Drosophila melanogaster: one gene and its partners. Changing the gene in region 3 together with the main gene of any one other region gives a genetic interaction. Each region holds a gene or a part of one and is shown on either strand. Other genes may lie near its edges.

What was found.
Region 1: of put (region 3) and dally, changing one enhances a phenotype caused by changing the other (phenotypic enhancement), as found in Drosophila melanogaster (one study listed by BioGRID).
Region 2: of put (region 3) and gbb, changing one suppresses a phenotype caused by changing the other (phenotypic suppression), as found in Drosophila melanogaster (one study listed by BioGRID).
Region 4: of put (region 3) and Pp1-87B, changing one enhances a phenotype caused by changing the other (phenotypic enhancement), as found in Drosophila melanogaster (2 studies listed by BioGRID).

The regions. Positions count from the first base shown.
Region 1 is NT_037436.4:8,824,598-8,831,799, forward strand, and holds the start of dally (division abnormally delayed), read left to right. Parts: upstream 1-2,907; 5' UTR 2,908-3,635; coding exon 3,636-3,906; intron 3,907-7,202. UniProt on the Drosophila melanogaster protein: Cell surface proteoglycan that bears heparan sulfate. Functions as a coreceptor for growth factors and morphogens, such as the products of dpp, to regulate signaling and distribution of these ligands.
Region 2 is NT_033778.4:23,849,836-23,856,166, reverse strand, and holds gbb (glass bottom boat), read right to left. Parts: upstream 4,606-6,331; 5' UTR 4,413-4,605; coding exon 3,045-4,412; 3' UTR 2,920-3,044; downstream 1-2,919. Other genes in the region: bgcn (benign gonial cell neoplasm), read left to right, coding at 296-649, 709-1,674, 1,736-2,417, 2,473-2,608; eIF6 (eukaryotic translation initiation factor 6), read left to right, coding at 6,095-6,331; ytr (yantar), read left to right, coding at 5,355-5,596. UniProt on the Drosophila melanogaster protein: Required for the growth of imaginal tissues and for patterning of the adult wing.
Region 3 is NT_033777.3:14,618,394-14,628,563, forward strand, and holds put (punt), read right to left. Parts: upstream 7,311-10,170; 5' UTR 6,853-7,310; coding exon 6,807-6,852; intron 5,280-6,806; coding exon 5,094-5,279; intron 5,027-5,093; coding exon 4,850-5,026; intron 3,911-4,849; coding exon 3,765-3,910; intron 3,697-3,764; coding exon 2,881-3,696; intron 2,821-2,880; coding exon 2,641-2,820; coding exon of another isoform or gene 2,629-2,640; 3' UTR 637-2,628; downstream 1-636. Other genes in the region: His4r (histone H4 replacement), read left to right, coding at 7,657-7,836, 7,901-8,032; CG7886 (uncharacterized protein), read right to left, coding at 8,617-9,294, 9,373-9,817, 9,876-10,170.
Region 4 is NT_033777.3:12,420,702-12,427,494, forward strand, and holds Pp1-87B (protein phosphatase 1 at 87B), read right to left. Parts: upstream 5,217-6,793; 5' UTR 4,988-5,216; coding exon 4,079-4,987; 3' UTR 3,910-4,078; intron 3,816-3,909; 3' UTR 2,920-3,815; downstream 1-2,919. Other genes in the region: pps (protein partner of snf), read left to right, coding at 25-206; Scgbeta (sarcoglycan beta), read right to left, coding at 584-1,642; CG17202 (uncharacterized protein), read left to right, coding at 2,158-2,169, 2,232-2,765; NANS (N-acetylneuraminic acid synthase), read left to right, coding at 5,911-6,246, 6,353-6,793. UniProt on the Drosophila melanogaster protein: Is essential for the regulation of mitotic chromosomal segregation as well as regulation of chromatin condensation during interphase.

The DNA of each region.
Region 1 (7,202 bases), on a different chromosome or scaffold from region 3:
GAGGGTCATGCGTGACTTTTCTCGCAGTGTAGGGCCCCTGCAATTATTGTTACATGATGAAGTGCTATCGATGTCTGTTTCGTTTGACTGATTCTCAGATTCGATGGAAAAACGAGCAGCCCTCGAGGGGCGGCAGGTGTGTGTGTGCGTGAGTATCTGTGTAAGTGAGAGTATCTGTGCGCGTAGCATGTGCGACTGTGTGCGGGGGCATGGAATTTTCAAGACCCTGTTACTGCAAGTGCCGCCCAGGTCTTTTAAAATATAAGAAGACGAGGCTGGCATTCAAATCTCTGCCCCCAGCTCGATGACTTCACACATTCCACAGCGAACGAGAGGGGTGTGGGATCGAAGAACTTCCTTGAAAACCCCCGTCTAAGCCAAGTGAAGAACTTAAACGTCGAACCAGTTTTTGGTGAATGAAAAGCCAGCAAGCCCAAAGTTGCACACAAACTCCAAACTCAAAGCAGAAGAAACCCGAAGCGAAGTACCAGAAAAGGGGGGCCCCCACTGAAAAGGGGCAGCCTGGCAGCTAAAATATAATAAAAAGAAATTAAAATAAAATTCAAAAATGTGCAAAACGAGACCGAGAACGAGAAATGCTGCATGCCAGTCTTCGGGCATGAGGGAGCGGTACTGGAGAAGAATCTCCGTGGAACCTGTTGGACCAGTCACACACACAGGCAGGCACACCAACAACCGAATGCCACCAACGTGTTTGTGCCAGGATAAAAGGCAAGCCGGGTCGCTCCATGGGTATATATATCCATCTCTTTTCGACCCGCTCCGGAGGATTTCAAGTGTAAAACGCTGTCGCTTGTGGAATGCGCGCACACACACAAACACAAGCGGATACAACTGCATAGATAGCCCAACATTTGGCCATATTTTGCTGCACTAAATCAAGCGTTTAAACGAAATTCGAGTTGGGCCAACAAGCCAACGAGCCGAGCTAAAAGCGTTCATATTTTCCCGATCGCCAAAAAGAAGCACCATAATTTATAGATGCCGTTTGACTAAATTCGTTTAATTCCAGTCCTACCTTTACCCACACACCTATATAATATATATGCCTACGGTTTACCTGTGCGATACAAAAATAAGGAGGAAAAAAAAACGGAAAATAAGGCGAGAGAGCGAGAAGTAAAAGGGTTTTGGTTTTGGTTTCGGTTTCGGTTTCTTTGGGACCTTCGCTCTCATCGATCGTTCCGTAGTGTACATTATAATTTATAACTTTATCTAAACGATGTGGTGGTGTTTAATTTTCGACCTCACCTTTTCCAGCTCGTTTTTGTTTTTTGTTGCCGTTTCGCCATCCCATCACCATCATCATCATCATCATCATCACGGTTGTTTCTGATGTGGATTCGTTTCATTGGAGAACTGTTTCCGCTTCGCATGACTCACTTTTCGCTGTTTGCCCCGGGGTCTTGAGTCTTCTCCTTTTTTTTTTCTTATTTTTTGGGAGGTCTTTCTTTATCGCACACTAATTTGAATAGGATTCCATTTCGTGATGAACATATCACCGGGAACGGAAAACATCCATGGGGGGTGGGAGGGCGTTTGCGCCCAGCTGGACGCCCGCAACTGACCACCATGAAGTTCCCGCTGCCCTGGCTATATAGTATCTTGTTAATGAAGAAATAGATACACAGACGCCCCGAGACGCCTAGGTATTTAAGATCGAGGTCGGTGCCCGCGGGGTGACGAGTGAAAGTCCGGGGAGAAGAGGCTGGTGTGTTCGGGTCGTGCATTGTCTGCCACACCGCTGCAGCCTCAAGACAATCGCTTCGTTTTCGCAAATTGCAAAGGGAAAAAATTAACAAAAGAAAAGAAATGAAGAAAAAAAAACAAACGATACCACCACACGTGCTGTGCGAGGTCATGACACGGCTATCAATTTGAACAGAAACATTTAGCCCTAGGGAAATAGCTGCCAAGCATCTGAGACTCTTCAAAGGCGTGAAATCTGAGCCTGCTCCACGGGTTCATCAAGCCGATCGTAAAACATAGCCTATGAAATAAAATTAGAACTCATTCAGACATCAATTAGAACCGAGCATGCAAATTTCAACCAGCGGCATCGATAAAAGCCCGGATTAAAAGCCACCGGAGCACCCGAGAAGACCACTGTGAGATGGATTGATTTACGTTGAATATGCAAATTGCAGCGAGCCAACGTTGAAAGCTTTTAGAAGAGCATTTCGAGAATTTGAATAAATATTTAGGCCCATCGGACACAGAGAAAAATAATCAGAATCAAGCCAGCTCCTGTGGCAGATGACACGGCCAGGGAAAACTCGAAGTTGGTCCTGAAGAATGCCGGAACCCATAAATAAATGCGAATCACTATTGAAATATATAAAACGAAAACAGGATATGTGTCATATCAAATTTTATGGAACTACGTAGATTCATTGGCTGTCGAAATCGTTTGGCAATCATCGAAGAGAATAGATATCTTACGAAAGCTAAGCTTGCGTTACTAACTTTAATTTCCCCTTTTACTCATACTACATGCTGTTAATAAATACAACATCTTATAAATTGTGGTTGGGCATTCCTTAATTAAAATACTTTATAATATCTAATAAGCATTACAAAGTTTGTGGTTTAGTTCGAAGCTCGTTTTCCAAAACTCTAAAGACTCAAATTAATTAATTCATTTCAGATTGCGCCCTTGTATTACTCATGTATTCTCGGCGTTAACCTGTGAATTAAATTGAGTTCGCATAAACACCTCTATTCATTGCACCACTGTGCCAACATCTGTGCTCGCCGTTCTCTTTTGTTCGAAAGAGAGCGTTCGGATGGTTCTCTTAGCGCCGATTGTCGAGTGCCGAGTGTGGTTCGTGTTCGCATCGTTAAAGTTGTAGCACTCAGGGCGGATGTTTGATTTCGATGGCAAAGTCAATCTGTTCGGGTTTCTCGTCGTGGAAGGTTCGTTGCGCGCGCGGAAAAACTGAAAATATCGGTGCGAAATTCGAGCGGAAAAACGCTAGAAAAGAAGGCGAGTGCATTTCCTCGACCTGAGAACGCCGGTGGCCAAGGAGCTTTGCAATTAAATCTATTTTCGCCGACCTAAGTACACAAAACGTAGGAGAAAATTAAAAAGAAGAAAAAAAAAACAAATCTAATCGCTGGCAAATCAATTGCTAAGGAATTGAGTACTATTCGTTGTTATGTCATGGAAAGTCTCTGAATAAGTTAAGAAAATACTTGTGAGAAATTTAGCGACCTTTCAAAACTAGAAAGTAGAAAAGCAAAAAGTGCTAGACACGCGCTCTCTCTTCGACCACCACCCACCACCACCCACTATCGCCATCCCACGTTTACTACCACGTTTATTGCTCACGCGTGTTTTTGGGGCCTTTTGTTTTGTGCGCTCGTGTTTGTGGCCGTGTGTGCCAGTGTGTGTGTGTGCGTGTTAGCCGGCAAGTGCATTTGTGTGAGTGTGTGTGTTTGTTGCCGCGAACAGCTGTTCACCCAGACAGCATGCAGAAGTAAATACGAAGAAGTGCTGCAAAATAGAGTAAATAAAATAACCGGCTAAAATAAAAATAAGAGAAGCATTCAAAGGCAAATCAAATTTAGCCCCATCATCCACTGTGTCTGCACACAGAAATCACCCATCAAAAATGGCGGCCAGGAGCGTGCGGCTAGCGCAGCTTTTGCTATTTACCCTGCTCTGCGGCTTCGTCGGCCTGTCAGCCGCCAAGCACCTGGACCTGGATGGTATCCACCACCACCAGCACCACCTGCACAGCGCCACCACGCACCACAGACGTCGCCTACAGCGGGACTCGCGGGCGAAGGACGCCGTTGGGGGATCGACCCACCAGTGTGATGCCGTCAAGAGCTACTTCGAATCGATCGACATCAAGTCGAGTGGGACTTACAGCGAAAAAGGTAAAGTTCACGCCATCCATCCGTAGAGTTATAATATCGAGTATGCACTTGGACATGCGGGCTGGGGAAGAAGCGGGGAACGATGGAGGAAGTTAAAGCTACCAATATGGTTAAGGCCCCTTAGGAGCAAACGTACTAACTTTAAACTATGCAGAGGAAAACGTATGTTATTTCCCCAGGTCACTAGAGTGGTTCGAATACTTAAAGTCTAAGTTATCTACTCCATTAAATAAGAAAGAGGTACATAAATTGGGATTATTGATAATGGTTTTTCAATTTAATTACTTTTGCATCCTCTCCGTTTAAAAACATTTCTTTTGCGGGAAATTCATTGCCTTGATTTCAGAGTTTGTCTTAACCCTCGCCTCGCCATCAGTCTTCCATACTTCAACCAAGTAAATCGCGCGTCAGCCAAAGTTTTTGCCATCCCGCAGCTGCAGTTTCTCTTATTTCTAGTCCGTTCTAGACCCCATCCGCTTCTCAATCCCCGCCAGAAACTAGAAGCATATGCAAATTCATTGAACTGAGTGAAACCCTCGAGCGGGCAGCCACTCGAGGCGAACTATGACCACTCGAACAGCCGGGCGCCGTTTGCAATTAGAAGATTGCGCATTGAGCAACGCCTCGGAAAAGTTTTCGACGTGCCGTGGATAAAGTTTTTGGCCGCGCCAGGTTCATTACATATCGGATCTGGCACCTCGCAGATGCAGAGATACATAGATACACAGGCGGCGGCATCATTTGTTATTCTGATTTCTCGACACTGCCATATCAAGTGGCACGCATCTGAGGCCAAACTGTGTGAAGGCTATGGAAGGTATATTTATATTTACCACAGCCGATATCCACAAGATACTCGACATATTTTTGTTTATGCATATTTCATACCCGAAGTCAAAAATAAGACCGAATAACCAAATAATGCAATACAATCCGATAATATCAGTCGAAAACGAGCGAATGTACCCAATATATATCTGTTTCGTGTAATTGAGTGAAAAATAATTATTATTGATTAGCCGACCTTGACTTGGTATTTACGCGTTTACGCACAATTACATGATACACAGCCGCAAACTCGACTGGAATACAAATGTATCTGGCGATGATGTTGCAACTTTTCCCTCCAATGCTTACCTGTCTGCAGAGGTTCTCGGTTCTCTTTGCTCATTCTGTTCAGTCGTTCCCACACGCAGGTAGTTAACGCCAAGAAGAACTATCTATGAGATACATTGCTGAGCAGACCGCATTGCCATGGCATCAAAGTGTGAAGAACCGAATAGCCAACCGAGAGTTGGCGTTACAAGTGCATGTTTGTGTGTCCCAGAGACTTATCCACCTGAATGCCAGAATGCCCAATTGAACTGGTAGCTGGAAGTTATTAGCGCTGGCTTTGAGGAATTTCAATTTGGCTAATGCCAGGCGGCGTATCTCCGATCAGCACCTATGTATGTATCTCTGTATCTCTGGTCGTTGCTCCTGCTTAAGTATGCCGAACCTTGTTTTCGACATTTATTTACTGTTTACATAGTTCCACTTGCGCCTGCCTCCGCCTCCGTAGAATTTATGCCCCGCCAATGTATCTATGTATATCTGTTAATGTATCTGTATCCGTACAGTACGTATCCGTATCTCCATCTATATCTCTTTCTGTTTGCTCTGGAGTGTGTTACTTTTACGTTTATGTGCTGTTTGTGATGCTAATCTCTCGTCGGTGCCATGCATACGATATGTTTCTCCCGATTTGCTTTTGCCGTGCAGTTCCCGGTAGAGGCGCTCGGCATAAAACTAAATTTTAATTTAATTGCGCACACCACTCGACTGCTAATTGAGTTGGCTTTGCTTTTGGGCCAAAAAAAAAAAACAGTATTACTCCGTGCCTATTAAAATGAACATTAACATTGGCGCGTTACAAAGACGCACAGGAAGTCGTAGCTGCAGTATCTAATCGTATCGCACAGTATCTGTATCTGTTTACCTGCAAGTATCTGTAGTATCTGTATCTATGCTTAAGGCATAGCAGTTCCAATGCCCCCGACCGTGTTACTAAATATTTAAGCAACTCGCAACAGAAATTAGAGCAAGCCATGAGATATGAGCCCATGTATCCGCGTATCTCCTCCGCCGGCAAGTGTTTGTGTGCCGCCTGGCTAGATAAGTGAAAAGTGCAAATAGAGAAGGCAAAGGCAAACGTGACTCGTTTGGAGCGGGGAAAACTGCTTAGCAGACAACTTTTCAAACGGATTCCATTTCCCTGACATGTACGTAGGTATGCATACCTGCAGTTTGGGTGCGTGGGCCTACGCTTATGCTTTTGCCATCAAAGGAGCTCATCCTCGAGTAAAAATTTTAATTAACTAGAGAACTGCGCATATGCCCCAATCCCATACCCAAATCATTAGTGGTTAGAGGAAGAGCAGCACAGCTCACTATCGCTCGGCACTGCCAATTAAAAGTTGAAGTTCCATTCCATGTGAGATGGCAAATGGCATAGAACTCCACTTAAGGCTTAACTGCCAACATAAATGTGCCAAATTTCGACTAAGCGAAATTCGTCAAAAAGTAGCAAAACCCATCAAGCTGAACCAAAAACGATCCATAACACTTATGTCGCGACGATCGTAAAGATCGTCAGCCAAATTCCGATTGCCCGAAACTCGTTTTGTATTTTGTTTTATTCATGAGATACACGTTTTATCCGGAATATCTGGTGGATAATTAAATATTTATTTCTGTTCCAGTTGCAGTCTGAGCTACCCTTTTACTCGATGCCCACCTCCATTCAAGCTTAGAACACAACACTCTCATCCCAAACTTATCTCATCAATTAAGTTCTGAGTTCTTTTCAGTTAAGTTTAATTGCCGACTCTTTCTCCCAATCGATTAAACTCTAAGCCAGAAAAAATTCTTAATTGATTTGGTGCTGGACACAAAACTAATTACGACTGCGTTTTAAGTATTTTACGAAGGTTTCATCCAGTTGCTTAATGGCTAGAAATGAGTTTTCCACTCCGCTTTCCACCGAATCAAGTGGAAATAGTCAATGGGTTCGGGCTTAAAAGTTGGCTTAATCGTCATTCAATGCGGCACGTCTTTGGTTTAATGCCATGGAAAAGCTAAGACGTGGGAAAAGCACTTGGCAATGTCTGTAGAATACGTCTGCCGTCAATAAATCACGGCTAAGGATTTAATGAACTCTACGTTTAGTTTCCTTAAAACTCAATTTAAGTATTTTCAAATTTTCAAAAAATTCAAGCACCTTAAACTTACATCTTCAACTTATTACATTCTATTCT
Region 2 (6,331 bases), on a different chromosome or scaffold from region 3:
CGCCTCTGCACGAAAGAACACATACATGCCTATGTCTGTTGAATAGTTATATTAGTTTTAGTCGAAGATGTCAAGCCATTTAGTAATATCGATCTATTTTAGTAATGTGTGTCTGTCTTGAAACCTAGTTTATACGAATGGGGAATCGCCGCGTTTATTTATGTATAGGTAACTTTGTAAATCAGATTTAATAAATTAAACCCATTTGAAGCGAAACGCTCACAGGCTGCTCTTTATCATTAACCTCCATGTGGAAAGAATGAGAGAAAGTCTACTACCTTTTTCCTATTTTCAGGCAACATCCTCATCATTTTACCCACCTACTACCACATTGTCAAGCTGAACTACATGATCCTGAGCCACTGCCTCACTGGCAGCCTGCAGGAGTGCTCCATATTCCTGCTGTACGATAACATGAGGAATGACTACCTCCAGGCGTTGGTCAATGCCAGCGATGAGACGGTGAAGGTGGTTCTGGCCACGGATATTATCGAATCGCTCTGCCTGAAGGTGCCGTTCAAGTACCAAATAGACACCGCCTGCCGGCTGAACAATGTTTACGATACCACGAGCTGCAGCGGCGATGATCGCTTCGAATGGGTGGCCAAGGACGCTCTTCTGCGAAGGGAGCTAATCCTTCAGCCCAATAGTAAGTACATAGCTCGTCATACATTGTTAACACTAACTGATGCACTGCGTTTTCCGTAGAAGGGGATGTACAATGCTTCCGTCTGATAAGCAAGGAGGCCTACGAGGAGCTAAGCGAGACCAGTCAGCCAAGCCTGCAGACTATGCAACTGGACAAGATCTGCCTGGCGGTGAAACTACTCTCACCCAATACGATTATAAGCGAATATCTGGGTATTACCATCTCACCGCCACCGCTGATCAACGTGCACCATGCCGTGCAGTTCCTCAAGAAAATAGATGTGCTCGATGACGCCGAGGATGTGACCTGGCTGGGCTGCCGCCTGATGGACATCCCGGTCTCCTGTCAACTCGGCCGCATGCTGATCTTCGGCATCCTGCTGCGCTGCCTGGATCCAATACTCACGATTGTCAGCTCTCTGTCGACGGCGGACCCGTTGGGCATTCCGTTTACCGAGGACATCGACAACTTGTGGGACAGGTTCACCATCTACATCCAGAACAGCATCAAGAAAGAGCGGACCTACCTGTCCGACAATCAGTTTTCCGATCACTTCATCTTCGTGCGCTTGTACAAGGAGTGGCAAAACCGAATGCACAACAGGACGCCGCCGCTATACCTTAAGGATGAGTATGAATTCATGCTGAATGGCCTGATGGAGCAACTCACCTCCATTCGTTCCGAGATCGTGAGCTCCTTGCGGGCAGCCAATTTGATTCACAGCCGAGGTAAGCTGTCGATGAACAATCTCAACCAGATGTCCTGCAATTGGCACATGGTTAAGGCGGCCCTCACGGGCGGAATGTATCCCAACATCTATGCCGTGGACACTAGAAAGAGTTCGCTAAAGTCGGCCTTCTCCGGGAACGTTTCCATGCATCCGAACACCGTGCTCCGCGATTTCTTGGAGCCACTGAATATTTCGGCACAGAGCTTCCGCACACCGTGGATTGTGTGCAACAGGCAGAAGAGCCACATTGTTTACGCCACCCTGGTCGTTCCTCTGGCTGTTGCCATGTTCTCGGGTAAGCTCGAATGAATTTCATGTTATATCATTCTGGTTATCATTCATTTTGTATTAATTAGGACATCCACGGATTCGCCTCTCCCCGATCTGCGACAGTGAAATGAGTTTGACCGATCGCAACGTGAACGTCTTTATAGACGAATGGATCTGGATGGTTATGTCCAAGGCTACGGCGGAGATGGTGATGCGCACGCGGTATTACTTCTTTAAAATGTACCACGACTTGCTGAAGCACTGCAGCGAGCTGGACATGTGGCGCCGAGACTGCGAGCCAGTTTCCCAATACACCGTGCTGACTGATACGCTATCGAAGATCTTCGAGAGTGAGGATGGATTCGTGGGCTTCTTCAAGCCTCCGCCCATAACCTTTCTACCGACGCCCCAGCTGCCATCCTTGTACCTCCTGTCCGTTAACGCCCACTTCAGTTGGGCCCGGGAAGTGGAGGAGAACATGCTGTCGAAACCACACCATTTCAATTCGCACTTCATCGAGAGGCAGTTCTTCGTGCTCTACGCAGGCGGCGACTGCGAGGAGTTCCACAGCAGGAACACGCCAGCCTTTATTGAAAGTGTCCTCGGCAAGTTTGTCAGACCCATCGACACGCCCAACCGGCACATCTTTGTGATCCTGTATAGAAAGGATCCCGATATGATGCTCAGCATTAGTCGAGCCAAATTCGTCAATGGTGTATTTATGTTGCAGGAATACTTCCGAAACAACATTCCGGTGTTTGAAATCTTGTAAGTGCAATCCAAGTTGCGGAGAATACTCCAGTCTAATGTGCTCTCCTTTCAGAGATGCGTGTGTGTCGTTGAATGTGCAGACACCGGTGTTTGATGGCCGCCTGATGTCGGCGCTAATTGACAAGCGTGTCGGCAACTTGATTATGGAATTGTTTGCCTTCCGCCACCACTGGATTCACAAGCGATAAAGCCCGCTTCCTCGCGCATATTGCCTGCTTCCCTACTAATTGAGTCCTAAAATAATTAAGAATGATCCAAAGAAGCGTGCCGAAGTCCAAATAGGACTTGATTGTGCCTTTTATTGCTGTGAAATGACTGTTAATTTTAAATGAGAGCTAACCAGAATCAAAATACGTACTTTTAGTACCACATTGCGTCTATCATCGTTGTTTTGAAATATTTGAAATTTGTGCATCCCAATCATGAGTAGATGTGAGACAATAAAGAAGAAGTATCTTTTAATACTAGCCACAAATGAAACTCCTCAAGAGACGAACTTCAGTTAGGTACAGCGCTGTATATTTTTGTATAAAAATATTCGAGATTAGTACAGAGATGGACATCTACACAGAAATGCTTTATATATATAGTGCTATAGTGCTTAGCCTAAGTGGTAAATTGAATTCAATGGCACCCGCAGGATTTCACAATCATGTTTCTATACTTTTTCAGGTTCACATTCTCGTCGTTCAGGTGGTACAGAACGGGTAGTGCTCCCAGCCTGGTCGGAGCGCAGCAGGGCTTGGGCACCTTCTTCGGCTCCAGCAGGTGGACCAGGGTCTGGACGATCGCATGGTTCGTGGCGTTCATGTGCGCATTGAGCGGGAAATTGCACTCGCCGCTGCAGTAGAAGGCGCCATAGCCCTCTGGTGCGATGATCCAGTCATGCCAGCCCAGATCCTTGAAGTCTATGTACAGGGTCTGCATCTGGCAGCTGCGCGTGCTCTCCATCGGTTCCAGCAGCGGCACGTTGTTGGGCGACACCGACTTCTTGCGCTTGCGTGGATGGCTGGCGCTTCGCTTGCTCCTGTGGTGGCTGCTGTGGGCCGTCGCCTTGATCAGCTCCGGTCCGCGGAAGAAGCCGATCATGAAGGGCTGGAACTCGTCGTCCACCTTGCGGTGGATCAGTCCAATGTCGTCCAGCTTCACCTCGCGGTCGGGTCGGTTGACAGCGTGTGCTCCAATGTAGATGCCATGATTGTCCTTCGACTTGACCAGCCACTCGTGCAGGCCCTCGGTCACGTTGAGCTCCAACCAGCCCACGTAGTCCCCGGTGGTGTTCACCGAGGACAGCGGCTCCATGGTGTGCTGGCCCAGCGTGCCGGTGCCAATGGCGTATACCGTGATGGTGAACTCCCTGTTGGCGGTCAGCCACTTGCCCTCGTTGGCGTTCTGATAGATGCGCAGCTCGGCCATCACCAGGTAGTTGTCGTTGGGCACGTTGGAGACGTCGAACCACAGGCGACGGCCGTGCTCGTGACGCAGTTCGTCCACATTGTGGTGGCGCTTGTTCAGGAAGGTCATGATGATGTCGCTCTCGTCGATGGCCCGCTTGTCCAGGTCGGTGATGAAGTTCTTCTGCTGCTCGCCCTCATCCTCCTCGAGGTCGGCGCTCCTCCTGGACCGATGGCCGCGTTCGTAGTCGTCGTCCTCATCCTGATCGCTGAGACCCTCCTCCGCCGTGATGCGGTGGTAGACGTCCAGCAGGAACTTGGGAGCCGACTTCCTCAGCGACAACTGGTGGCTGCTCAGGTGCGTCGGCCGTTCGGCGATGCCCAGGAACTCGAGGATCTCGTACGAGACGTCCAGCTTGTCGTCCTCGCTCAGCACTCTGTGCATGATCGTCTGGTCCTTGCCGTTGTCTATGTAAATCCCCGACTGGGTGGCCTCAACGGCCGGCGGCGTGGTCGCCACGAACATGAGCAGAACCATTCCGAGTCCCAGGGAGGCGAGCACTGCAACGGCCTCCGAGGTGTTTCGCAGTCCCGACATTATTTCGTGTTTTGGACGGATCGGTTGCGATCGCTGTTTTTCTATATCTACGGCGCTATCCACTTGCGATAGCTTCAGATGTACAGTGGCATTTAGTTGTTTATTTCGAGAGTTCCAGCGAACCGCGGGTTCTGAAAATTCTGACGCACTTACGGATTGTTGTGTGTATCTTAATCTTCAAGATGCATTTTCTTTCTATTTCGCGGGAGTTGGCAGTCCCGCGACTTGGAAAATGAATCGGTCTTGAAGATCGAACTAGAAGATCCAACATAGTAGTTCATTTCAGCTGCGATCGTGAGCAAATATGTGGTTTAATAGCTTCAAAAAAAAAAAGAAGAAACTGTGTAAATGTAGAAAATATAACGTTTATATTGGCAAAGTTCGTAATATTTTGATATTTTAAACTATTTATGGAAGTGGTATTGACGAAAGATTTGTAATTATGAATTTGTTAAATTTATCATAGTCCGGGCATAATTTGAAATATAATATAGGTAATGCTATTAAAAAATATTAATTAATATATATACATAGTTCATATTCAAAAGGAAACAGATCGATTTAAACATTCGGTATGCGATATACATAGGATACATTTTTATCGAAGATAAAATCGACCATCAATCGATATCCGATAGGTGGCCATGTTTTGCCCTTGCATCGCATCCCTCGCATCATCATCCGCATTCTGCATTCCTCATTCCGTTTCGGCGTCGCGGCGAGATAACGCGCGTTGTTTATTTGGTTTTAGTTTTAAGTTAGCGCGTTTTTACCCACCGCCGGTGTCGCCCAAATAATGCTAGACACAGCCTAGTGCAACGGTAAGCGGGATGCGTGCGGTGCAATTGGAGTACATGGAGTCTAACATCCGCTCAAATCCACTGCAGGCAAACCATCATCAATCACTCAAACCGCCACACAAGCAGAGACCGAAACGGAGCCATGGGCCGCAGCCGAAGTCCCGCCTCGCCGGCGCACAGGAGACGCGAGAAGGAGCGATCCGAGCGGAAGAAGCGCAGGGAGCGCCGTTCCCGGGAGCGGGAGGCCATCGGAGTAGCGCCAGCCGGAGGATCCGGATCTGGAGGCGCCGGTCGCCGCGACCGGGAACGGGATCGCGACCGCAGTCGCAGCCGAGATCGGGAGCGGGAACGGGAGCGCGACCGTGCGCGGAGTCGGCGATCTAGGTGAATAAGAAAGTGTAGTGTACCAAATGCCAACCACGATAAGTATAAAACTAGTCACTAAAATCGGGGATGTGGGTCACAGTTCAGGGGCGTGCTGGATAACCGTGAAATGGGGTTTAAATAGCAACCAATATTTATAAGTTTAGGATAAGCTTAGGGAGTGTTTGTGTAGATTTAGGAACACATTCCAACACAGGGGACAATTGACCCCTCAAACCCCCGAAATCGCCGTTCAGAACTTGTTTATTTACCCACGAGTATCGATAGACCCACACTTCGATAGGCAGCCAATCGATGGCTATGCAGCTCTGGCGTCCCAACATCAAAAAAAAATTACCACGTGAAGCGAAATTGTGCGAATTTCATCACGACATTTAAATTGATTTCCGGACATATAAACAGAATCCAGAACTCATCCGGCAGCAGGCTCAGTCAGGCCAGTAAATCCGAAAAGAGAGTAACCAGCAGGAAAAGAGGATCCACGTAAATACAGAGAAAATGGCTCTACGCGTCCAATTCGAGAACAACGACGACATCGGCGTCTTCACTAAACTAACCAACACATACTGCCTGGTGGCCATCGGTGGATCCGAGACCTTCTACAGCGCCTTCGAGGCGGAGCTGGGCGACACCATCCCGGTGGTGCATGCGAATGTGGGCGGCTGCCGGATCATCGGCCGCCTCACCGTGGGCAACCGCAACGGCCTGCTGGTGCCCAACTCCACCACCGACGAG
Region 3 (10,170 bases):
AACCCAATAAAGATATACTCGATACAGTAAGCTGAGAATGGCTAAGGATTAGGTGATTATACACACACACGGAATGCGAAACCGAATCAATATAGATTTACATAGATTTACAAGTATATATTTTAGTAAGACACCCATTCAGAACGCACAGGACTTGGAATGCTTTACATTTTTGCATTTGATAGAGATCGATTTTTTCCCCAGGATATAGAAGAATGAGAGTTACGAAGCCAAGGATAAGTCTGATATGTCTATAAAACAGACGGAGGATGGAACGAACGATCGTAGAACTACAACTGAAATGGTCCAATGTCACAAACTACGTAGAAGATTGTAAATATATATATTTTGTATCAATTAAGCCTGTACTAGAGTCTATATATTCGTTCGATTTCGTTGTATAAGTTAATCAGGGACATAACTCTAAAAACTCCCCCAGTAATAAACCGTATATTTAATATTATTCATATAAATATTTGTATCTGATATGTGTAGCTCTTGGCTAAGTTTTCCTATCTGTATTGTTGAATTATATAATCCAGAAGGTCTGAATGTTTACGGAAGACAATTGTAATAAAAGTGGCAAGAAAGCTGGAATAGAGTCGATTTTTATTAAGGAAAAACCGGTGATGAATTGTTTATTAAACAGTTGCATTTTTATTTTAAATCCGTTATTATCAAAGATCGTTTTTTAATCGTAAACTTCTTAACACGACTTGCTATCATCTCGTATATGTTTTTCGCATATTGGTTTTTATAAAACTTTGCTGATGATATTCGAAAATGGGGTGTTTTAAAAAGATTTTCTTATGAATTTACTGTTTATAAACTCGTTTTGGTTTTACTTATGAAATGCATTAAAAAATATACCAAAATTGCTGTTGGCTTGTTATTGCCTTGTATAATGCTATAAAAATTTCTCTGCAAATCTTTTTGAAATGATCGATTTATATTATCTTCCTCTATCCCATTTAGCAATCTGATATGTAACAAACTACTATGATTAAATATTAATTGTTTATTCCTTCGCTCTTTAAATACTGGTTGTTTTTGAATTCGTTTCTTATTATCTTCATTATCATTATGTTCGTCGTAATGATGTTTCAGCACCAATGGAAAATATACAAATTAAATACAGCATAACAAAATTCGTTCTATTATTAAGATTATGTCGTTTGGTTTTTGTTTGTTTGCGTAATAAACTATTTTTGTTGTAAGTTGCTCAAAAAAATCAGGTAATGAAGCTTTGTTTGTTTCGTTTTGTTCTGTGTTGTGTATCGTGTTTAGTTGATATCTTAACTGATAATCCAGAAGTATTTCAGATGCTTAGCCATTGATAAGAACTGATGCTGCGCAAAAAAGTTTCAAATAACCCGAAAGATAATACATTCCGCCAAGACTCTCTTAATTAAACTATAGCTTAAATAACTATAGCTCGACATACACCTTGTTTGGCTAACATTATAAGACATACTATCCGTTTAACAATGTTTAACATACTTACTCATTGTGTTTAGCTCTAATTTCTTACAGTGTGTGCATACCTCTTGGGTTGAATATTAACTTTGATTTTTTTTTTGTTTAGATTTTATGCTGACGATGAGTCGCAGCGTGTGCTTCATATAAACCTGCTAGACTGCGTGTGTTCCGTATGCCTATGCGTGTATGTGTTGTGTGTATATATAAAGAGTATAGTTTATATTTTATAATTTATGTATATGCGCTTAAGTTAGATTCTTGTTAAAAAGAAACTTTCCTTTGAAAACTTCAGGTGTTGCTTGTACTGTCCAGTAGAATTAGAATACAATTACATAATTACACATTTATTATGCTTACGCGATTTCTGAGGGTCATTGGCACTACGTTTTGGAAATAAAAAAATAAAAATCAAAAGCAGAAATATAAAACAGACAAAATAATAAAAAATCAGATGGTTAGGATGGAGTTTAAAGTATTTTTATTTAAAATACAACATTAAAACGCATGCACGTTTGAGCGCGAAATAAAAACGTTACAACTAAAAAGTAAACTAAAATTGTTAAATCTATTTTGAAAATAACTTTAAATATAAAACTACTACTATATGAAGACATTCGATAACGTACAAATAAAATTATACTTTAAAAGGCTTGACGATAATTTTCAACAGTTTACATATGCACACAGGCTACTGCCAGAGGGCAAAACAAATTGTACGTTATATGTATGATTTATATAGAACTATATATGGTTATCAGTCAATGAAGTCAATGTCGGATTAGCAACTACCACGTCTCTGGACATAGCTAATGCTCTTTGTTCAAAGTTGCTTAGTGTACGTTTCCACTCATTTCCAACAGATTTAAGAACTCGGGTTAACATCGAATGAGTCGATTTATAATTTAAAGAAAATAATAACAAAGAATCGTTGGCATGTTAAGCTTTTGGCTTTTCCCTTAGGAAAAGTTACATCTTACACGACTTCTTTCGTATAAATCAACCCATTCTATAGCTGCTTATAATGGTACTACAAACTATTAAACTAAAAACGAAACGTCTTACGACCTCGACGATCAACTATCCACTACGAAGCAAAAAGCTTCAACTGATTTTTTTGCAGAGCCACAGATCCGCTGGCTGGTCTGTGGCTTAGTACCGCTTCTATAAGCAATTCGTAGATTCCTTGGCGTCGTCAATGTTGGTGTGGTTCTTGATTAGCAACTGGGTTGAGGGATACTTGTTTAGCTGCGCAAAGCGTTCCATCACACACGAAGAGCTAAGACGAGCCTCAGCGTCGTGATCCCAGCACTCCTCCATTGTGTCGCAGAATACATTAAGTCCCTGTAAAAAAGTTACAAGTTATTTTCATTGACTAAAAGCATTATCAGAAGTCACACTCACCGGATGGGCGCGCCAGGAGTTGAGCAAACGAGGGCGCAGCTTCTTCATTACCACACTCTCCTGAACTTCGTCCAGCGACGGCCTCAGGCCCAGCTCGGCCTCAAAAGGCAGCTGGAACTCACCGACGGGTCCGGCAAAGTCACACCGTGACACCATTTCCCAGAGGACTAGGCCGCATGCGTAGACGTCTATGCGTAAGAAAGCGTCTCTATTGAAATTGATGGCACCCTCAAGCACCTCTGGGGCCATGTAACGTCGAGTGCCTACTTGACCGTGTGTATCGCCGCAGGGCTTGCCTGGCTGGAATATCATGGCCAAACCAAAGTCAGCTATACAGGCCGTCAGATCGCTCTTAAGCAGTACGTTCTTAGACTTGAAGTCTCGGTGAGCTATCGATGGTTTTAGCCCATCGGTCTTTGATGCCGGGATCTCCTCGTGCAGATGTGCCAGTCCATTGGCCATGGACTCAGCGATGCGGCACAACTCTGGCCATGAGATCGTGTGCGATTTGAGGTAGTCGCATAGTGATCCGTTATGCTGGTAGGTGGATATCAGCCAATATTCCGGCTTGTCCATGTGCTTCTCAACGCCCAGGAATTCGAGGATGTTCGGATGGCGCATGCGCGGCAGCTTGTAGATATCGTGCTCCGTGGTCCACGATTCTTTTTCCTGCATGCGAAAGATCTTGACGGCCACATCCTGATTGTTGAGCTTGGCTTGCCACACATCACCGAATCTACCACTGGCCTTCTGTTCCAGCAGCTGAATGGGACGGTTGCTGAGCAATGGCGATGAGTTTGTTATCTCAGCCTCGTGCTAAAGGGTTTAATTTTGCATAATTAAAATTATATATTTGCGGCAACATCACAAGGATATGTACGTACCGTGGGTATCTCGTTAAAGTGCGCCTGCTTGCGGCGTCGGTAGAGAAGAAGGCCCATGCCAACAATGACCATGAGCACGCTGAAAACGGAGGTGCCAATGTAGATGTATATCAAATTGCTGCCGTCCTGCGTCTTCTCCTTGGGCACTGCAACGATACAAGGACACACACGGGAACGAACATTAAAGAGGGCTTTAAACGCTGCCTTGCCACAGGTGAACAACATCTCGAGTGGCGGCATGCACCTGCAGCTGCTGGGGTTGCTATGAAAGGCAAAACGAAAACTAAAAAACGAAAGTTCGCCCCCAATTTCGCATCTCTTTTTCCCCTCATTTTGTTTCGAGATAAAAGCGAGCTAGGCCCAAGAACAAAACAACAAAGAGCAGGGCACAAAAGACGCCCTGGCAGCACAGGGCTTCGAAGTCAAAGGCAGCAGCAACACCCCAAAAATAAAAACAAGAAAGGATGCTAGAATGAAGTCACTCGACACTTGTATACCTGGTATTAGATAACAGATACTCTCCTCGTTGTGGGTTAAGGCTGCAAGCCAATTAAGTATCATTCAAAATAGGTAGAGTCTAATCCTATTAAGCCTTCATAATCGGAGTGAAATAAATTGGATTTATACCAAATAACTACCTCTTTCAGTTGCATCCTTTAAAGCGAACGCATTATACCCGATCGCTAAAGAAGTACCTTACTATAAAAATAAAAACGAACCAGCGAACGTGCACAGGAGGGCAGAAATTGCAACACATGCGGCTCCGAAAAGGGGTTGCTGGAGGCTGGGGATGTAGAAAATGATGGGGGAGCGGGCGCCACTTCGCGTCAAGAGTTCGTTAACACGAAAAACGCTGCCTCGGATGCGAGGAGTGGTATTTTGTAGGCGAAGCCTACGCCCTCTTTTTGCAACTTGAAGATGCAGTAAAAATACAAAAAAAAAAAAAAAAAACGAAATAACAAAAACAAACAAAAAATATATGCAAACGGAAAAATAACAAAATTGGGGTAAACACTCCAAAGACAAAACCCCAGTAGCAGCAAACGTTAAACCGAATCTGAATCCGAAACCGGATCCGAACCCACCTTGTGTGGTTGCCTCCGTGGTGCTTTTAATATATTTCTGGTTGGAATTGCACCGCGATCCCTTGCAGCAGCAGAAGTGAATGTTTCCCTGCCGTGGCTCTGCACTGGTCACGCACTCCGTCTGATTGCATTCGTGCATGTCCGTGAAGCAGCCCTTCATCTTGATGCGCAGGATGCCTATGGGAACGGAAAAATTAAAATTAATCAGTATGCCTGAAACAACGTCAACTTCTGCACGGCTCACCCGTTGTCTCGTTGACCGACCAAAGGACATAGCAGCTGGGAAACTTATCCGCCTCCATCTTACAGTGCTCTATCCGTGTTTCACATTGCTGCGTTGTGTTGCACATCTTCTCGTCGAAGTGCTCGCATTCTATGATCCCATGACTTCCGGGCAAAATAGATCCATGGATTCCAATCAGACAGCAGACTAAATGAAGACAATGGGAAAATAGATTAATAATCTTTCTAGTTTTAGATTAGCACTGATCTATATTTAAAGTATATATTTGAGCAGTCCTAAAACATGAGTAAAGACTTTCAAAAAGTTAAAACGTAGTTAAAGATCAAAGTTAATGGAATTATCGGTTGGAAGTGCTCAAAGGGTGGGCAAATAAAGTCGAGCCTATTTGGGGAATAAGACTGAAAGGGAGGGCGCTCAGCGAGCTCTTTGTGGGCGCTATCCTTTGTACACATATCGCATGCCCAGAAGTAGCAGGAGTAGCGTCCTAAGCTGGGGCCTCTGCCATTGAAAGCCACCCCATTTGGGCACGGAATTAGCCCCACTGGCCACACACCAGCCTTTGAGTGGGCATGGCCCCAATGCACGGATATGCAGTGCACAGTGGGCCTGCAGTAAGGTTTCTTGAAAATCTATTTACATTCTTTAATTCGATTTAATCTGGGATCCTCATCCAAATACCGAAATTTTTGTTGATAAAAATTAAAATGATAATTCACTTTTTAAATGTGTAAATACAAAAAATTTAATTTTGAAAACGTTTATTGCAACGAGCCTGCGATATATTGATTGATATTTCTTGACCATTGGCTAAGCAAACTGTTTTCAATCCTTTGAAACACTTTTCGTCCCACTGTCCTTTAGGTAATCGGATCGCTGGCCATGTATGTGTGTGTTCGTAAGCGTGCATGCTTTATAGTAAAGTAGATACATAAGCAGGCACATTATGCACACAGAAAGGGATGGGTTTAAAGTGGCGCTTGTGCGGAAAAAGGAAACAGCAGCAGCAGAAACAACAACAACAACAGCAGCAACAGGGAAGAGAGCGCACTGCGCCACAGAAAGAGAGAGGGCTATGGCGAGCGAAAGAGAGGGAGGCCGGTGGAGCAAAAGGGTGGGAGAAACCAGAACCTGCCATACAACAAGTTCCTAATGCAGCAAAATCCATTCAAAGAAATGCTCAGCGCACACACACATGGATTAAGATTGGGAATTAGGTATCCGATCGATTTATACCGAGTATGCGTTTGGCGCTCAACATATGAATTCGTAGTACCCACTGTCAACAATTCTTACGATATTTTACTACATTTGTGTAGTACAATTGTTGGTGCTTTAATAGAGTATCTAGTGTATACATTATTCACTTCACAAATAGATTTGATTCCTAGCATTTACATTCGTTATACCTAATTTCTGAAAATTTAAGATGTTCTGATGTGTTGGTTAATAGGACAAAGCTATCACAAAGCCTATACACCCTATATATGAACTTTTCAAGCGCCATGTGATATTAATAAAGTAATAGCATTACGCACCCCATATCATCAAAAATCACACGCACGAATGGTTATAAATCGAAGTCGGCTTGCATTACAGAGGAAAATCGTAAGGCAGAGACAAAATATAATATTATGTACATATGTACATAATAAAGCGACTGGGAATTAAGGCGCCAATAAGTATGCACCCACACACTCGCAGTGCAATACATACCCAGCGTTAGCTGCGCCGTTAGATAAAGCAGATCGTATTTGGACATTGTTATCGCCTGTGCAAACTTGTTTACAGCACTCGTTGCGTATACGTAACGCGAATATTTCGATGTTTCGGGGACAGGTGCAGTGGAATGGAATAACTGGGTACTGTTAATATTATTTTGGCACAGAGTTCCTGTTGTCTTCGCACTTTTCGAGTACAGCACTAAGTGTGTATGTGTGGGTGGCCGAGTGTGTGTGCGGTGCCTTGGCAGCGATTTTGCTGGCCACACGCCGTTTGCATGCGCATTTCCGCGGGTTTTACTCGACTTTTCGCCGCGACTTAATTTTAAGCTAGAGGGGCACAGTTGAAAAAGTATATGCGCGCTGCACTTTTTCGTTTTTCGCAGGTCTGCGGGCCTGTTTTCAAGCGATTTTAGTGCGAGCACGTCTTTCGGTTCGATTAAATCTTTTTTGTCGCAACGGGGCGGCGATAGCGATGGCCGATAGGCGATAACTGACCAGGGCTGGTAGTGAGACAATAGAAATACTAGATACGCGCATTTTGCGAAAGGTATTTTGAGGTGTGCGAGATCTGGTCACGCTCACAAGCAATTTTCTGGAGATTTCTTGAAGTGAGTTTTGTTGCTGAGAAATTTAAGTAAATAATAGAAGAATCGGTCAACAAAGTTTTTTTGTGCATAAACATAAAAAAAATAATTGGAGACCATTATTTTGTATGAAAACAGACTTATTAACAACAGTTTTCACCTGTCAAATGAACGTTTACCTTTCACCAAACATGGCGTCGCTTTACAGTTTATTGCGTCTTCTCTTCTTTTCAGCCAACTTTACGAAGCAACTGAGAAATGACTGGTCGTGGAAAGGGAGGCAAAGGATTGGGAAAGGGGGGCGCCAAGCGTCATCGTAAGGTGCTTCGTGATAACATCCAGGGTATCACCAAGCCTGCTATTCGCCGTTTGGCTCGTCGCGGCGGTGTTAAGCGTATCTCTGGCTTGATTTACGAGGAAACTCGCGGTGTGCTAAAGGTACGTTCTGGCGAAACGAAGGGAAAGTGGTGAAAAACTGATTAATTTCTCGGAAAATTCACAGGTATTCCTTGAGAACGTTATCCGTGACGCTGTCACCTACACCGAGCACGCCAAGCGCAAGACCGTGACCGCCATGGACGTGGTCTATGCCCTCAAGCGCCAGGGACGCACCCTTTACGGATTTGGCGGTTAAGCACGCCCTCTAACCTCCACATAATAAATAACCATGGAGTTAACTTAACTACATTCAAAATACTTGATCCAATTGAATCTTAATCAGTAGTATTCAACGCAAACTTAACCGAACGCAAATATTTTATAATTTCACAATATACGGACTAAATAAATCAAAAGATATCACATAGAGAACTCAATATCATGCATATGTGCATTTTGACTTGGGGCGGTTAATCATCCGAAAATAAGGTCCAACAAACTCGCTTAGGGAGCACACAAATAATAAATCTTTAATGGAAATTAGTAAGACCAAAGTATATTTTTGTACATTTTTGGTGCAGCTTGAATTCGCAGATGGCAGGACGTGCAAAAAGGAGCAGGTTCCCTTTTCTACTGCTACTGCCCGGGAGTATGACTGCAAATTTAGCTCTCCCAGTGGGGATCCTATCGAATCGAGTTGGCTGCTTTGTTGTGGGTGTGATGGTGGTGGTAGTGGTGTTGTTGTTGTTACTGCTCGGCGTATCAGCCAGCTGTGGTGTCGCTGCTCCGGCTGCGAATGGCTGCGGGGATTTTGAATGGAGGAACCTAAAGTCACGACCCCTAGGCGCTCTGCTCCCGCTGCTTCTGGAGCTGCAGGGACATGTAGACATTGGCCGGGGATATGACATTTTGGTCGCCGAAATCGCCAGAGCCTCCACCACCGCCGGCATCTCCGTCGCCGGCCTCTTCTGTGAGTGACATGGACTCCGATTGCTTGCGCCGCACAAAGACATGCATGGAGGAGTATTTCGAGCTACTAAGTAACGTGGAGTCCGTCGCCTCCGTCTCGTAGTCTGAGTTCTCCAGCGTAACGTCCGTTGAGGAGAGTTCTTCGGAGCGGGACATATACGACGACTCCATGTGCATGTCGCCGACTGGTACCTGAAGATCGTCCTCAGGCCGAGGTTTAAGGCGCTTTTTCCCCGTTTTACCAGCATTCGCTTGTCGTTCCAGATTGCTAACGAACTGCGCCACATGTCCATCGCTGGCGCCTGGGACACGTTTTTGCACCAAAGCCTCGACCAGTTGAGATTGCCTCTGCCTCCTGTGGGATCCGTCACCCACGCCCACCACATAGCCGTGCTCGTAGCCCCGCTTGACTGGCTGCTGCTGCTGCTCATGCTCATAGTTGTAGACATAGGCCGTATCGCCCCCGCCGCCCTCGTATCGGTGGCCAGGATTGACCATCACATTGTCGCCAATGTCCGTCTCGAATTGAACAGAGGGATTAAGCTTGAACTGTGGGGATAAGATGGGTTATCGTACAGGAGAATAAATTGCTAGTACTGGTTAATTTATATTGTGGATACTACTCACATCTCTCTCGTTGGCAAACTCATGGTCCGACTTGGACTCGCGATTCTTTTTGGCTGCCTCCTTGGGATTGTTTTCCACATACTTAATCTCACTGCGAACCTTGCGCACCTGGAGATGTTTGCGTTGGACCTGCATTTGCTGTTCGTAATGCTGTTGCTCCTCGTTCTGCGGCTCCGACTCGGATTGACTTTCCTCCGCCTGCTGTTCCTCCTCCTCCTCCTCCTCCTCTTCCTCCACGTCCAAGTCCACCTTTTTCTGCACGTCGCGCAGATTTCGGATTTGCTGCTCCAAGGAAAGATGCTTGACCTCCATTGGTGGGGGTTGTTGACGTTGCAGCTGCTGCTCCTTGCGCAATGTGACAATCTCGCTGCGGGGTGTGACTTCGGGACTGGTGGCCGCACTGTTGACCAGCCGGTTGAAGTGCGACTGGCGGTAGCTTTGGGAACTGTGAAGAAATACTCAAATCAGATAGGCATTGAATTGAGAATTGAGAGCTAGCCCACTTTTTGATGACTTCTGGCATAACATCATTCCGCGCCACATATTCCCTCGAAATGTTCGTTTGTGATCCTCCCTCCATGGCCTTCTCTTGAACCATGTGATTGGAGTCGGGTCTCATGAGCTGGTGGCTAAGCTTCTCATTCAGCTTCTCGGCCTTCTTGCGCAACGTTCGCTCGAAGGAGAGCTGCTCCTCCAATGCTTTGGTGTGGGACAGCAGTTGAGAGACGGTGACCTTCTTGTTCTTGGGCAGGCTCTGTAGCCCGTTGACGCAACTGAGATCATACTCTGGCTCCTGTT
Region 4 (6,793 bases), 2.2 Mb from region 3:
GTATCAACGATTCCTTTCCTGTAGCATCGAAGAAGCCGAGGAGCAAAGGCCGTTTGGCGCATCTAAGTGAAGCTGAGCTTCTTAGCATGGTGCCGGACAATCTGGCAGGCGTGATTCCCAGATCGTCTAGGACCCGCCACCAGCTTGCTCAGTCGCCGCTCACACCAACACCACTACCACCACCGCCGCCGCCGCCGGGTGTTTAGGTTACCCCCATCCGGACGGACGCTGGCTAACCCGCGCGCCAATCCGTTTTTCATTCTTGATTTGAATTGCCGCCCGCCCGCCCGCCTCATTGTGTACATTGTCATTAAGCAAATTCAACGCCATCTCTGTATTATATCTGGCCAATCGGAATTTTTTAGTTTTCAAAGCTAAAGCCACAACCCCATCATCCCGCCACAACCCAACCCGCCCCGAGCTCCAAATGGATCATCCTTCGCATTGCAATGCAAATTTAGATTCGGTTTTTACATTACGCTCTAACAAATCGTGTACATTTCCTCCGAAAATAAAAAGTGCTACGTAACATTTGTTTTAGGGATACGATAATCGTAACGCTGCACTTTATTTCCAAACGCACTTAGTTGATCTCGCAGGGATCGTCCTTGCCGCTGAAGTGGGCGCATGTGATCTTGGGTCCGTTGTGTACCCTGGGTATGGCGATCCGGAAGAGCGTTCCATGCGGCATGCACACGCAAATCTTGTACTGCACACTGCCCGTGCGGAGACCCAGCTCGGAGCTGACGATGGGAATGCGGTCCATGTCCAGAAAGATACCCGTGCCTGCCTCCAGGATGGTGGCGCCCTGCGTGGAGTTGATGAGAATGTGGTGCTCGGCCTGCATGTCAACGCTGGCTCCGTCGAAGTAGACGCCCTCGGATCCCCTGATGGCCATGCGTCCGTCGCTCTCCAGCACCAGGGACTCGTCGATGGGACTGACGATGCCGCTGGCACTAACCACTTTGGCCTGCAGCGCCTCCACTCCGCCCGGAATGTTATACTGCGGACGATGGGTGGTGAAAATCGGCTGCTTGTCGACGGGGTCCTTGACCTCGAACAAGTTCGTGGCCTGCACGAGGATACCCTCCCTGTTCAGGACGATCCTATCGCGTTCGCTGGCTGCTCCATTGCCATTGCGGAAGACGCGCACATGGACGCCGCCCTCGCCGTCACCAGCATCACTGCTGATGGTCACCGGGACATCCGAGAAGCCGTGTATCTGGCCAATCGAGTTCGTCTGCACGCGCTCCAAGTCCGTGGTACCGTAGAACTTCACCAAATCCACCTCGGGTATCACCTCCATGCCCTGGACACCTTTGCCCAGGCGAAGCACACCCACAATGGTGAGCGTCAGCAGAAGATTGCCAACGGTCAGCACCAGCAGCAACACCACAATGGTCCAGAAGGCGAACGTGTTGCGTCCCTGGTGACCCGGATGCAGGCGGGAGCAGCTGTCGCTGTTGTACTTCTCATCGAAGTAATCGCCCGTATCCGTTTTCGAGTCGTCGCGACAAAAGTCCAAGTCCGGCACAACTCCTCCAATGGGCAGCGTCACAGAGAGCGCGTTCTCCGAGTTGGCGTCGTCGGAATATGACGGCGATGGTCCACGGATGAAGGTGTTCTCGAATGTGTGCATCATTGGATTGAATTGAATTCCTGGCGAGTTGAACTCAAAAAACCGTTTGCACAATTGCTGTATTCAGTGCAAGGAAATTGGGCATGTACATGTGAGAGATTCAATTGTTGGACATGCGCAGTGCGTTCTCAGCCGCAAGTTTCGAAAAATCCGATATATTCGAATTTTGAATACTTTCGAAATATGAAAAAGTGGTTTCCAAATTATCTTTACAACGAGAAAGTCAATTTTCAAAAGTTAATATAACATTTTCAACTGCTAGAACTCAGTTACCAATATATATTTTTTAATGGAGAGCAGAACAAAAAAAAAACAATCAATTAAATGTAAAACACTGGTTTTCATAATCCATTTAAACTTTCAAAAATTGAATTTTAAAAGTGTAACCATAAAAAGTCAATTGGAACCGAACCAGTTCCGTATGATTGCAGCACGCAGCCCTGGCTTCAAGGGGGCTTGACTTTGGCATTTTTCGAAGTTGCGCCCACAGCCACACCGCACATCTCCATTTTGCAAAGATGTCCTTTAAGGTGAGCTTTTGTCCAAAAACTGATTGCCATTGGCTAAACAAGAGTCTCCCGCAATGACACAGCCCATTGACCCGAAGCGCGACGAGATCCGGCGCTATCTAGAGCGCGGCAGCGTCCTGGACTCGCTGACCAAGCTCTTCATACGCGTGATCAAGGAGCGGCCCGAGAATCCCATGGACTACATCCGTAACCACATCGGCGTGGTGCGCCACCAGCACGACAAGTACGAGCGCCTGCAGCAGGATCTGCAGCTGGCCAACGAGGAGATCCAGCGTCTGCGCGCCATCATCAACGGCATCAATCCCGACGTGCTCCAGGGTCATCAGCCAGTGGCTTCAAGTGAAGTAGTGGTCGCAACGGAGGCGCCACAGACCGTGGCCGAGTCCACTGAGGCGGCGGAGCAGCAGCAGCAGCAGCAGCAGCAGGAGAACGGCGAGACTGAGCTGGAGAAACCTAACGAAAGTTCGGCGGACGTTGCGGAGATAACTGCCGCTGTGGAGGCCTGCCAGATTGAGGGGAACTCGGTGGTGACCACCGATGAAGCCGCACAGCCAAGCCCAACCGTCCAAGCTGAAGCCAGTGGCTCCAGTGAGTAGATCTCAGATGACAGCAGCACGTGCCAGCACACACCAAACGTAAAAACAAAAACATCCCATTTAGAACGCATTCATTTAGAAGAAATGTTAAGTATTTTCCGGAATTTACATGTAAATAAAGCGAAATAAAGCATGAGCGCATGCAGCGTATTATGGATTTTTCAAATGTGTTTATTGAAATCAGTTTCATAATTCATACACGTTTTATATCATTTGTTTATTAATACAAAGGATTATTGATAATACATATTAATAATAGTTAATTTTTAAAAAACACATCCTTAAAATGACGGGAAGCGGACGTTTGAATAGCTGATGAATGGTAAGGAGTTTTAGGGACAAACTAATATATTTCGCTGATTTTCTTGCAGATATTTCTCTGGCTGGCTGGCTGGCTGGTCCATTCGGTCGGACTGCATTGTGGACGAACAAAAAAAAAACTGATTCAAGGTCGAAACTTAGTGCTTATAATTCCTCTTTATACTTCTTGGCAAGCATTCGCCTCCACCTCCTCGGTTCAACGATTTCCCCTCTTCGATTTTTTGTTTCTTGTTTTGTTTTCACTTGCTCTATACTCTTAAGGCCAACGAGCACTACAGGGCCCCCACATCTGTATGCTTTGTGACCGACTGGCGTCCAGTCGCTCCTCTGCTGCTCCGTTTCCATCTAATCTGCATGGTTATGCGCTTGGTGCTCTGCTCGAACGGTCAGTTGATTAACCTAGTGTTTAAATTTTGGACAAAACCTATAAAAGCGCTGGTGTTCAAATGTGTGTACATGTGTGTGCGTGGGTGAATGGTTGGTCGGTCGGTAGATATACATATATATATATATATACGGGGGCTATTACAAATAAATATGTGGCTTTTAATCATGGTATTTGTCAATGTGTTTGTAATTGCGATTTAAATCTCAATGGGTGTGGGGTGGAAGGGGAAAACTGCAGTCATCTGCTGGAAGGGATGTCTCTGGGGATGTCCTTTGATCGTGGCGCTGCTATTCCATACCAAATTAATGGTGCAATTTCTTGTGGATTTCGACTCGCCCCGGCTGCCGATGATAAAAGTGACCAAAAACAGAGATAAGGTTGGGGTGAGAGTGTGATTCACTAGTTTGTTACTCTGCGTCAGCAGCCCATACTTACGTTTCATGCATCATTTGATGTGTTGTTTCAAAGGATTTTATTTCTGGTTGATTGTGTGGTTGGGTTTGTGGTTGTTTTTGTCGTGTTTATCTTTTGTATCTTGTTTGGATTTCTTATTGATCTGTTTTAGATAGAAAAAGACTGCTCGTGGTGCTGCAGTTGTGTGATATTACTTTTTACGCTTGTCGGCTGGCTTGAGGATTTGGAACGAGCACATCAGCGTATCGTCCACGGACATCATGGCGCCGGCATTGTCGAACTCGCCGCAGTAGTTGGGCGCCGAGAACAGGGTGACCAGCATGCGTTTGGCAAAGAACTCGTACCCATCCTCGACGACTTGATGGGCTCGGCAGATGAGATCGAACTCGTGCTTCTGCAAAAACTTGGCCACCACCTCGGCACCGAAGGTGAAGCTAACGCCGCGGTCGTTTTCGCCCCAGCCCATGGTATCCTTATCGGGATCGGACCACAGGAGATCGCACAGCAGTCCCTGGTCGGGCACATCGGTTGGCCGCATAATGCGACGGATCTGCTCCATGGAGGTCAAATCGGGACTGAGACCACCGTGGCAGCAGAAGATCTTCTCGTCGACAATGGCCGCCACTGGCAGGCAGTTGAAGCAGTCCGTGAATGTCTTCCACAACTTGATGCTGTAGCGACGCTTGCATTCGTCGTAGAATCCGTATATGCGATTAATGCTGGCGCATTCGTGGTTGCCGCGCAGCAGGAAGAAATTCTCCGAGTATTTGATCTTGTAGGCGAGCAGCAGGCAGATCGTCTCCAGCGATTGCTTGCCGCGATCGACGTAGTCGCCGAGGAACAGGTAATTCGATTCCGGCGGAAAGCCGCCGTACTCGAACAGACGCAACAGATCGTAGTACTGTCCATGGATGTCGCCGCAGATCTTCAACGGTGCCTCTAGCTCGAGCAGAATGGGCTGCGACAGGAAGATCTCGCGCGACTTCAAGCAAAGTCCCCGGATCTCGCCCTCCGAGAGCTGTACGTTTTTACCTGGCCGTGCCCCACGCACCTCGAGAAGTCGCGATATTATGCTGTCGATATTCATCACGTCGCCCATGTTTGCGTGCGAAAGTGTGGATCTGGTGCACTAGTGCTGCTGTTGGGTGTCGAGGTTACCGCGAACGATCGTTGGTAGCGCCGAAATAGCCTCGAAATCTTTAATTTCCGAAATCTATTTCTGCTAAATACTTTTCACAGCTAACAAGTATGAAAATTTCTTCGTATGCTGTTGCGTGAGTGCGGGCGGGATGGCGAGTGTGCTTCTAGCTGATGTTGCCACACTGCCGGAAGTCGCGGATATGGCCAGATAATAGACGCCATCTTATCTAATCGATAACATGCAAATATAGTGCATAATCGATAACGAAGTTGCTGTAATATTACTCTTATTACATTAAGGACATTTCCAATCCATTGCAAGAGTTCCGCAATAGCTCTACTTTTATATTTTCATTCGAAACGGGTCTTCTCGACCCTATAGTGGCTCGAAACTGCTGTTAGTAATCGATTAAACGCATGGCGTCCAGTTACTCTATTTCAGCGGTGTGGCAGCCTGATCAGGGGGACACTAGCCATCCCGCTTGCACTCAGGCACGCCTGGCATGACTTACTGTGGAAAAGAGATGGGAGACTGATGCATTTGGCGAGGCTATTCGATATACCGGTAACAAGGGGATATTTAAATACATTGGAAATTCAAATAAGCCAATAAGAATATTCGTTTACAGAACATAGGTTAATTCATTTTCCTTATTGGAATAACTTCCACATGAGTTATGATTTAAAATGCCAAATTTCCCTTAAATTCTCACAAAACTAAATAATATATTGATAGATATATTAACAATCACACTATGTAAAAATTTTGTATGAAATGTGCTCATGTCTTGTTATCGATAATTCGATACTCTATGCATTTCCTGCCTACGCCCGCTAATCATTTAATTAACTGTTAAATAGGCGGGTTTCAATTTAATCAAAATGCTGTTAAACGATATCATAAGCGGAAAATTAGTTGATTCCGTCTATATTATAGCGGAAATTGGCCAAAATCACCAAGGTTGTGTGGAAACAGCGAAGAAAATGATATGGGAGGCCAAAAAAGCCGGTTGCCACTGCGTCAAGTTTCAAAAATCGGATTTGCCAGCAAAGTTTACGAGATCCGCTCTAGATCGCGAATATATCAGTGATCACGCCTGGGGAAAAACGTACGGGGAGCACAAGGAGTACCTGGAGTTCTCCAAAGATCAGTATCTCCAGCTGCAGGCCCACTGCAAGGAGTTAAATGTGGACTTTACGGCTTCCGCCATGGATGAGGTTGATATTAATTAATTGTTAACCAATTACTACTACTAACAATTCCTTTTTTCCCTTGTTTCTTGCTTAAATAGTTATTAATGTGTGTATATGCTATTTTAAACAGAGATCGTTGGAGTTCCTTTCTGCTCTAAATGTTCCCTTCATCAAAATTGGTTCCGGAGACGCAAACAACTTTCCGCTTCTCAAAAAGGCCGCCAATTTGAACTTGCCCCTGGTGATCTCCACCGGAATGCAGACTATGCAAACTGTGGAGAGGATTGTGCAAACTATGCGGGAGTCAGGAAAAGAGGACTACGCTCTAATGCACTGCGTTTCATCGTACCCAACTGACCCAAAAGATTGCAGCTTGCAGTTGATATCCGTCTTAAGGACACGCTTTCCCAATGTGGCAATTGGGTACTCGGGTCATGAGCTGGGAGTGATCATTAGCCAGGCCGCCGTCTTGCTGGGAGCACGCATAGTGGAGCGCCACTTTACGCTGGACAAGAGTCAGAAGGGCTCCGATCATCGCTGCTCCCTAGAGCCGCAAGAATTAAAAGCTCTG